Callithrix jacchus: one gene and its partner. The main gene of each other region encodes a partner of the protein of the gene in region 2 in a complex. Links are inferred from orthologs where the notes say so. Each region holds a gene or a part of one and is shown on either strand. Other genes may lie near its edges.

Region 1 (4,633 bases), on a different chromosome or scaffold from region 2:
AGGTGTGTGATCCGAGGCAAGTCAGTCTCTTCATGTTTCACTGTTTTCACTTGTAAACATCTACTTAGAAGCTGTTGTGAACTTATTTCCATGCTTATAAACTGATTTTTTGAACAGAGCCTGGAACATAGGACATGCTAATAAGAGAAAGCATTTGCTACTTTTGGAAAAAGCATGACAAGATAGTTTACATACTTCTGATCTTAAGCACAGTATATGCATCTTACTTTTAGCTAGTCTATGTGACAGGGAGATGATAAAAAGTTATATTTGACTTGCACTACAAGTAAAATAATTCAACTTCATGTTCTAGAAAGATGTAAAAGAATTAAGAGTGACAGTCTTCCTAGTCTCAACTGCTATTTTCTCCATCAGGTGGTAAACTCGTCCAGAGAAGACTGATTTACTGCTATATGGGATTCTGCAGCAACTTCTGTGAACATAGGCTCATCATTTTTCACATGGAGACTCAAGCTTTTTGGAGTCACAGTTGTTTTTGAGTCTACTCGCAGGCATGCATCTTTTGCCCAGAAATATACACAACATTTGGCACATGGACTTGGAGGTAAAACAGGAGGAAGGCCTGAGGCTAGACATCACTCCAGTAAGTAATATTAAGCTCTTAGAAAAGCTATCCACCTTTGCAGAGAAGTCTTAAACCTATAGCTTGTATAGTAGCATCTTCAAAGTTGAGAAAGATGTGGGAGGGGCCCTGAGAGGTTACTGACTGAACAGATGAAAATGAAGATACGGAGATGGGTGCCAAAGGAACTTCCCCCTAAAAATCAAACAGTAACATCAGAGTCAAGCACCTAGGGCGATATAAGGAGATGCAAGAAAACAAGCGGAAACTCGAGAAGCTCTAATGCCTCTAAGGATCGATGACCACGGAAAATCTACGTAGCCAACAAGTTAAGACACACCAAGGCATTTTTTTTCTAAACAAAGTAGGAAAGCGGCCTTTGCTTGAGGGGCCAGCTCCGCGACCAAGGGGTCTTCCTTGGACAGTCCATCCAGATTCTCTCCGGTTCGTCGGGCAGTGACCGCGTGGCTTCACAGCCTCTCAGCCCCGGGCCCACACACCCCGGGCTGCCGCACAACCTCTAGTCCAAGACCAGATCCACAACCCCGTCTTGAAGCTCAACCGCGACCCAGCAGCCCAACTTCTTACCATAGCGAGGCCGGCGGTGCCGCAGCCACATCACCCTTCCGGGCTCCAGGCGGAAGAGGCTTCACGCCCCGTCTGCCCTTCTAGCCCTCTCCAGCCCTCCGGTTGGACTTGTCATGGCACCTCCTCCCAGGCCGCGCGATTAAGACGCTAGGGTAGGCTCATCTCCACCGGAAAAGGCGGGATCTAGAACACGCCCCGCAGGCCGGCGGAAGTAGATGATACTCTCATTGGTTGCAAGACATTGATCTGAGAAAGCGGGCGTTTCGGAAGAGACCGGAAGTGGAGTCTCCGAGAGGTAGGGTCCGGAAGTGCGGCTGCCCCTTAACAAAAATCTGATGTTCCGTTCTTTTTATGTTTTTTCTTTCTTTTAAAAAAATCCCATGCTATTTACTCCTAGAACTCCACAGTGAGAGAATCCCCCTTAATTTGTGAGCACCCGCGCTTTCCTCTTGTGAGCTTTTGGGGATCCTAGGGTTCCCGAAATCCTCAGGGTGCACACCTACCTGTTCACCCCCATTTCAGTTTCTCCATTTACATCTGGGGATTCTTGGGAATGCGAAGCACTTTTGAAATGCCCTGTGTGTGGAATTGGGAGGACAGTTGAATCCAGAGGGTAGTGTTGAGTCGGCAGTTTGACGTTGGCCTGTCCTTTCAATCCCCAGATTTTGATAAACTGTGGGTTCCCTCCACGCATCGGGAGCTGAAACGTACTAAGCTCTTTGGAGTCAGGAAAGAACTTTCTGTGGTAACCAATGGGAAGGGCTGCCCATTAGGGAGTGCAGCAATTGATAAGGTGCTTTAAAGAGATCAACTGGCGAGACAAATGACAAGCCAATGTGTAATCAGTAGTAGTATTTAGCTTTTCCTGATTTTAATTCCATTAGGTGAGGTTCTATTACACACGCATACACACACATTTTTCTTGCTGCATTTTATATATGGAGAAACAGGCGCTTTGATGTGTTTGAGTTTGCATAGTTCTTGTTAGTCTAATAAAGTATTAGTAGTGAGAGTTTTTCACTCTTTGCCCCCTAATGGCAACCTTTTGGTGCTTAACGTGTGGTGTATTTTTTCCCAGGCAGCAGAGGGTTCTTTTCAGAATGTCATCAATTTTTTATTTATTGACTTTGAAGGTGGATAGAGAGAGAGAGAAGGTAACTCATGTGAGATGTTGGTTTATGAGCTGTATATGGCCAATGAGACCCTTCTGTATTAGGGCAATACAATGATTAGAAGATTTGGGATTCTGCTATTTGTGTTTACATTGTTTGCTCAGGCACACAAAGATTATTTATTTATTTATTGAGACAGTCTTGCTCTGTCACCAGCCTGGAGTGCAGTGGCACCATCCTGGCTCACTGCAACCTCCGCCTCCCAGGTTCAAGTGCCTCAGCCTCCTGAGTAGCTGGGACTACAGGCGCACGCCCCCACACCTAGCTAATTTTTGTATTTTTAGTAGAGACAAGGTTTCACCATTTTGGCCAGGATGATCGCAATCTCTTGGCCTCGTGATCCACCCGCCTCAACTTCCCAAAGTGCTGGGATTACAGGCGTAAGCCACTGCGCCCTGTAAGGTTTTGTTTTAAACTGTAACTAACTTGATATTTGAGTATGTTATATTGACTTGTCAAGAGTTAGTCAAATAAACAAATTAGCAAGTATTTACTGGGTGCCTGCTTTATTCCGGGGTCTTGAGATTGCAGCATAGGAACAAAGATGGTCTATTCCTGTAAGGAATTTAATAAGGATGGGGGAGAGGGGAATAAGAAAGGTATAAAAAATACAGTACTCTCTGAGGAAGAAAAAAGTCTTTTAATGTTCTGTCTTGTAGTTCCTTTATATTGTACCTTTTAAGTCTTGCCATTCAAATTAAACAAACCTAGTTTAGTTATGGAAATTATGTTATGCAACTTATTGAGCTTGGCTTTTAGGGTAGTAAATGTGTCTGTAGACATAACTGCTCTTGGTTTCATGTGAAGATTGTCTTGATCTTTGTTACACTAAAGGATAATACTTCTGTACGAAGCTGTGCTTCAGGCTGCCTGTGAAGAGCATCAGAAAGCTTCAAAATAGTAAAGAATGAAGTTGCCAGTTTTTTAGTTATCCACAGAGAAACACATGTGCCAATAATGAGGCTGAACAAATATGTATAATGTTTATTGTATTTATGTAAAACATCGGTTAATCTGATGTGTTGAGATATTTTTGGGAGGTGGTTGTTTAGCTGCATCGTCTTTAAGCACATAAATCACCTACTTTTTAGTTTTCAGATTATATCACAATTTCAAAAGTCTTTCTGGATCTTTGTAATAAATCCTCATTTAAAACTATCTTGGATCCTTTCCTTACTAGAAGTAAAATCTGACTGTGTTATTCCTTTGTTCAAAAATTATTTATTTTTATTTTTATGTTTGAGACAGAGCAGATCTTTCTCTGTGGCCCAGGGTGGAGTGCAGTGGCACAATCATGGCTCACTGCAGCCTCAACCTCCTGGGCAGAAGTGATCTATTCTCCTCCCTCAGTATCCCCAGTAGCTGGTACCATGGCTATATGCTACCACAGTTGACTAATTTTATTTCGTTTTTTGTAGAGACAGGGGCTCACTCTTTTGCCTAAGCTGATCTCAAACTCCTGGGCACAAGTGATCCTCCTGCCTCAGCCTCCCGAAGTGCTGGGATTACAGGTATAAGCCACCATGTCTGGCTGGTTAAAAAAATTATTATCTCTCCTGCATCTGGAAGAATATTACCAACTTTGGTATCATGGGTATTTTAGAATTGTATGTAAAAATAGTGAATATTTATATTTTTCTGTGGAGCCAGTGCACAGGTGTCTTCAGTGTTATGAGGATTACATGATTTATTACAAGTAAATCATCTAGGCAAGTGTTTGGCATACAGTAAGCCCTCAGAAAGTGTTGGCTATTATTGTGCATGGCTTTCTCTTTGCTAAATTAAAAGTCCCTGGAGAGGAGGAATTGTAATGGAGGAATGGTTGAATTGCATATATTAGGCACTAAATACAGTAGTCTCACCTTATCTGAAGTTTTGATTTCTGCTGTTTTAGTTACCAGTGATCAACCACAGTCTGAAAATATTAAGCAGAAAATTCCAACCAGGTGCGGTGGCTCATGCCTGTAATCCTGGCACTCTGGGAGGCTGAGGCGGGTGGATCACTTGAGGTCAGGAGTTCAAGACAAGCCTGGCCAACATGATGAAACCCTGTCTCTACTAAAAATACAAAAATTAGCCAGGCGTGGTGGTGCATGCCTGTAGTCCCAGCTACTCAGGAGGCTGATGCAGGAGAATCAATTGAACCTGGGAGGTAGAGGCTGCATTGAGCTGAGATTACACCACTGCACTCCAACCTGGGCAACAGAGTGAGACTCCATCTCAAAAAAATAAATAAATAAATAAATAAAAGAAAAAGAAAAAAGAAAAGAAAAAATATTCCAGAAATAAT
Region 2 (4,655 bases):
TGCAGTACTCCTAATAATAACTCCTCCACATCACCTCGGCTGCCCCTCCCTGCTGGCCAGAGCAGGAGGAGGCAGCCAGCCCAGCCACCACTCTGTTGGCTCCCCACAAAGCCCGGCTCCCAGCCTGCCTGGCTCCCAGCCCCTTCCCTGTGGGTCTCATATGTGCTTCTCCCCTTCCCCCTGGCATTCTCATGCACGCAGTCAGGCCAGTAAGGGGCCTGGTCACATCAGGTTATATGTTTTCTTAGCTAAGACCCTTATCTTTTCTGGGTCTTGGTTTCTTCATCTACAATATGAAGGCATGAACTGTGGTGCCCTCATGCCCTGGAGCCCACAAGTCCCTGGAGGAAGACAGTAAGCCTGTCAAGGGCATGCTAACCCTGAACAAGATGCGTGAAGGAGGGCATGAGGGGCTGCCTGACGGTGAGCTCAGCGAAGCCCGGAAGAAGCTTAAGTAAGACAGTAGCTAAAGGTTAAGCTTAATGAAATCTTACAGGGTAAAAAATCTGAAAATGGATCATCTGGGAGCCCACTACAATTCTATTTGCTCTCCAGCCAGACTTCACACAAACAGGTTCATTTTGACCTCCACTTCCATCTGGTCTCACTTACAAGGTTCCCTTAATATGGGCAGACCTTGAGCGATTTCCATGCATTCTGCATGGACCAAACACCTCTATTCCAAAAAACTGTATCCCTGAGTTGAAGAGAGAAATCAGGGACCATTCCTATGTTGGAAAAATGGGGGCTCAAAAAAAGGTCACACACAAGGCAGGGGAGCTGAAAATAGAACCCAGGAAGCCTTTAGCTACCTCCCAGTTTAGTGCTCAAGCCATCCCAGGCCTTCCAGGCGGAAGACAGGAGTTACAGTGTTGCTATAAAGAGACCAGAATGAGGGCAGGGGATCTGGGGTGGAAGAAGAGTCACTGCCAGTGTCACGTACCATCCGAGCCTAGCTACAGCCCTTTACACAGCAGTGTGCTGCAGAGTGATGAGCTAATCGGTCTCCAAGGAATAACTCTTTCCTGCCCTGGACAGCTGGATCAAGGACAAACACTCCTTCAGTTAAAAAAAAAAAGTTCCTGAGAACAGCAGTTGTTCCTGTGGTTATGGATACATTCCAGAACTGTGCCTGTTCCACTGCTGAGTGTGGCAGTTAACTCCTGCAGGGGCACGGCAGGCTGGTTCTGGGTGGCACCTGAGTAATGATTTCAGGGCAACTGAAACGCCCAAGACGCAACTCAGGAAGCATGAGGACAAGACTCGGACTCGGAAAGCCTGCTAATCTGTGATCTGGCAGACTCCAGCAGGGTAAGATCCCTGAAGGTCTCCCCAGCAACCCAGCAGTCATTTCCTAGAACATTCGGCCAATCCTCACCCAGTGCTGAACCCCTGCTACACTGGGCTGCATAGATACTTTCCAGGCCTGCCCACAAGGGGTCCTAAGAGCTGAGATGAGACCGGAGGCCCCCAAACCAAAGTCTCCTCTGACTGTCACCACCTTCCTCCTCAACCATGCCATGGGTCGGAGTCTGCAAGACACTACCTCTGCTCTCACTCCTGTCCTTTCAGCCTGGTTATCAACCACCTAAGGAATCCTCTTGGTATAGAGCCAGCACTCCTGGCATCACATCCCTTCCCCTCGCCCCTTGGGGCCCAGCTTTTCTCAGCCAAATCTTCATCCACAGACTGCACTGGGCCCGCCCCACCACCTCGAAGTCCTAGGGAGTGTCTGTATCCCAGCTTCTTTCTGCTCAGTTCCTTGCTGGCTCTCCACTCTCCCTCCACAGCTGGGGCTTTATACTGCCAGAGATTCCCCATCAGCTCTGCTTTCCACCCTTACCCTAGGGAATTCCTTTACTCTTTCTTTTCCCACTTTGTTGACCTATTCAAGCAATGGCTTGAGGTCCCGGGGTTTTTCCTATGAAACCAGAGCAGGTACCTGGTTTCCATCAATATTCTTTAAGAAACCCTGGGCTGTGAAAGAATCACTCACTGCAGGGTGCAGCCCCTTCGTCATTACCCCCTTCCATTTTCACTCAATTTAGTCTCCCCAATGTACACTATATCCTTGCCTCCTACTTTTGAAGCTTATATCACTAAACTGCTCCAGGGCTGAGACTGGTAGGGCTCAGACTCAGTACCTTTCACACATCACAAAGCCCGCAGTTAAGCCTGGATGGCACAGAACAAGCCGGAAAAGTAGGAATCGCCCAGTGTTCTGCTCCCAATGTCTTTATTCCTGTCTCGAGTGGGGCTTCTGCATTCTCTAAGGATTCTAGTCCCCGGAATCCAATTCGTTCCAGGCTCCTCATTATACAGCACAAACTTTACTCTCATTCTTTTCACCCCACATTCTTAGGAACCCACACCGACTCCCAGCTGGTTGTGAGTGGCACGACACAGGTCCCTGTCCCCACTTCCCAGTCCCTACCTCCGCTTGTACTCGTCCCGCTCCCGCTTCACTTTGGCCAGCACGTTGTAGAGCGCGCGGATCTCGGGGGTGATGGTGTCGATCTGGACGCCCACCCCATCCGGGTGCACCCACGACAAGCCAGGTCCTTGCACCAGAGTGGGCTCCAGTCCCGGCCCGAGCCGGCGGGCGTGCGAGAAGGACCAGATGGTGCCGGGCATGAAGCGGGCCGATGAGGAATAGGCGGTGGAGGTGGAGGTAGAGGACGACGAGAGGCTGGCCGCGGAGGGGGCGAGGGGGCCGGCCGGCGAGCGCGCGGGCGAGCCCAGCACCCGCGCCGACGGACTGCAGACGGCGGCCGGCCGGGCGCCCAGCGGCAGCCCCAGGGGCCGGATGGGGCTGACGAAGCCGGTCTGCACGGCCTGGTCGCGGCGACCCAGGCCCCGCCGGCCCTGCTTACCCTCCTCCAGCGCTTGCTGCAACTGCTTCTCCAGCAGCCGGTTCCGACGCTCCAGCTCGTGCACCTTGGCCAGGAAGCAGCGGAACCGGAGGTTCAGGGTCTTGAGCACGTTGATGTTGGAGCCCAGGTCATTGCGGAGGGCCATGGCGGCAGGCGGGGCCGGGCCCGGCCCGGGTGGCGAGTAGGCAGCAGGGCCGGCAGGCGACAGAGGCGCCGGGGGCAAGTCTCCTCCCCCGGCGAAGTGGTCACCTCCCAGTGGGTCCCCCAGCGGCCCGGCCAGGCCCTGCTGCTCCTGCTGTAGGAGGAAGAGATTGGGGCCGAATAACGGATTCATGGCTGCGCCTTCTGCTGGGAGATGCAGACCGGTGCAGGAGCAGGGATGGAGGGCGAGCGAGAAGAGCCAATGCGGCGCCGGCGGTACAGGGCCGACCAATCAGGCGGCTCGGCGGCGGGGCAGAGGTCAGGAGGCGGGCCGAGGGGGAAGCCAATGACAGGCTCCAATTGGAGGCCGGACCCTGGACCTTTCCGGGTCTGAGGCCGAGCCCGGGGCTGAGGAGAGCCACCGCCGGGAATCCAGCCGGGGTGGCGTAAAGCCCAGGACCCCATGGGTTCTGGTGACAAGCCCATCTCCCCTACATTTCTTGTTTTTTGAGACCGAGTCTCACTCTGTCGCCCAGGCTGGAGTGCAGTGGCGTGATCTTGGCTCACTGCAATCTCTACCTCCTGAATTCGAGCAATTCTCATGCCTCAGCCTCTCGAGTAGCTGGGATTACAGGCACCCGCCACCACGCCTGGCTAATTTTTTGCATTTTGGGTTTCACCATGTTGGCCAGGCTCGTCTTGAACTCTGATCTCAAGTGATCCACCCACCTTGATCTCCCAAAGTGCTAGGATTGCAGGCGTGAGCCACCGTGCCGGGCCTTCCCCTACACTTGTTGCCTTCTTCCCACAGTCCAAACTCCCCTAACTCTGACTCCAGGGCTCTCCTTTCCTGGGAAGACCCAAGGATGCAGGAGCCTAAAACTGACCTGACTTCTCAGTAGCACCCAACCATTCCCTCTCCTCAAAACCCCAGTCCCACCTTCCCATCTCTACCCTTAAAGCAGCAAAGGCAGTATTCAGTTCCCCCAAAAAATACTCAGTGGCCAGAGGTTGTAAAATGTGTATTAAATTTCATGGGCATACACAGTGCAAAAGGCTTCCTCACAGAGGCAAGAGTTCCAAACCGGTGACAAAGGCAGTGAGCCACCCCAGTCTAGTTTTCAACCATCTAAGACAGGAGCAGCTGGCTGTTGCCCCTGGACTGAGATTTCCTCCTCTTTGCTGGTGGGGGGCGGCTGGAACTGACAAGAGACACAGTGGGAGACTGAGGCCCCTTGGGGGAGCCATTCTGTTTCTGGAAGGCAGCTTTCTTGAAAGGCTGCTCTGGCAACTGCTGCTTCTCAACCCCCTTGGCCCTTCCAAAGGGCTGATGACGGTCCTTAGGCTTAAGGGTGGCCCGGGTCTTGGATGGGGATAGCACAGCCAGTGTTTCTGTGTCTGTGCCCTTGGGAGGGGCATTCTGCTTGAGGAAGGCAACTTTCTTGGAGGACTGTACTTTAGGTGATTGTTGCTTTAGCTTCCCTGTCACCTTTGGCTCCCTGATCCCTTTGGCTTTTCCAACTGGCTGACTGCTATCCTGGAGCCTGGAGGAAGCTTGGGTCTTTGTGACAGAAGGTATAGTGGACAGTTCTGAGTCTGCCCCTTTGGAGATGCCATTCAGCTTCTGGAAGGAGGTCTTCT

The links. Proteins that work in one complex are often made in the same cells at the same time.
Region 1: the proteins of IFFO1 (region 2) and XRCC4 are in contact, whole or in part, in a crystal structure (PDB 6ABO), measured with the Homo sapiens proteins. The link is inferred for Callithrix jacchus from reciprocal best matches to the Homo sapiens genes IFFO1 and XRCC4. Residues at the interface, in NP_001317253.1 of Homo sapiens: Arg469, Glu470, Tyr473, Ile477, Gln479, Ile480, Glu481, Glu483, Leu484, Ala487, Lys488, Asp490, Met491, Arg493, His494, Leu495, Tyr498, Met501, Lys505, Leu508, Asp509, Met512, Cys515, Arg516, Leu518, Ile519, Thr520, Gln521; in NP_001304941.1 of Homo sapiens: Trp155, Val158, Gln159, Phe162, Glu163, Cys165, Val166, Lys169, Glu170, Glu173, Leu176, Tyr177, Phe180, Val183, Leu184, Lys187, Lys188, Lys190, Ile191, Leu194, His195, Lys197, Leu198, Ala201, Ala202, Arg205, Glu212.

The regions. Positions count from the first base shown.
Region 1 is NC_133503.1:127,810,610-127,815,242, reverse strand, and holds the start of XRCC4 (DNA repair protein XRCC4), read left to right. Parts: upstream 1-1,391; 5' UTR 1,392-1,466; intron 1,467-4,633. Other genes in the region: TMEM167A (protein kish-A), read right to left, coding at 1,172-1,174.
Region 2 is NC_133510.1:20,741,858-20,746,512, forward strand, and holds the start of IFFO1 (non-homologous end joining factor IFFO1), read right to left. Parts: upstream 3,221-4,655; 5' UTR 3,208-3,220; coding exon 2,435-3,207; intron 1-2,434. Other genes in the region: NOP2 (28S rRNA (cytosine(4447)-C(5))-methyltransferase), read right to left, coding at 4,144-4,655. UniProt on the Homo sapiens protein: Nuclear matrix protein involved in the immobilization of broken DNA ends and the suppression of chromosome translocation during DNA double-strand breaks (DSBs).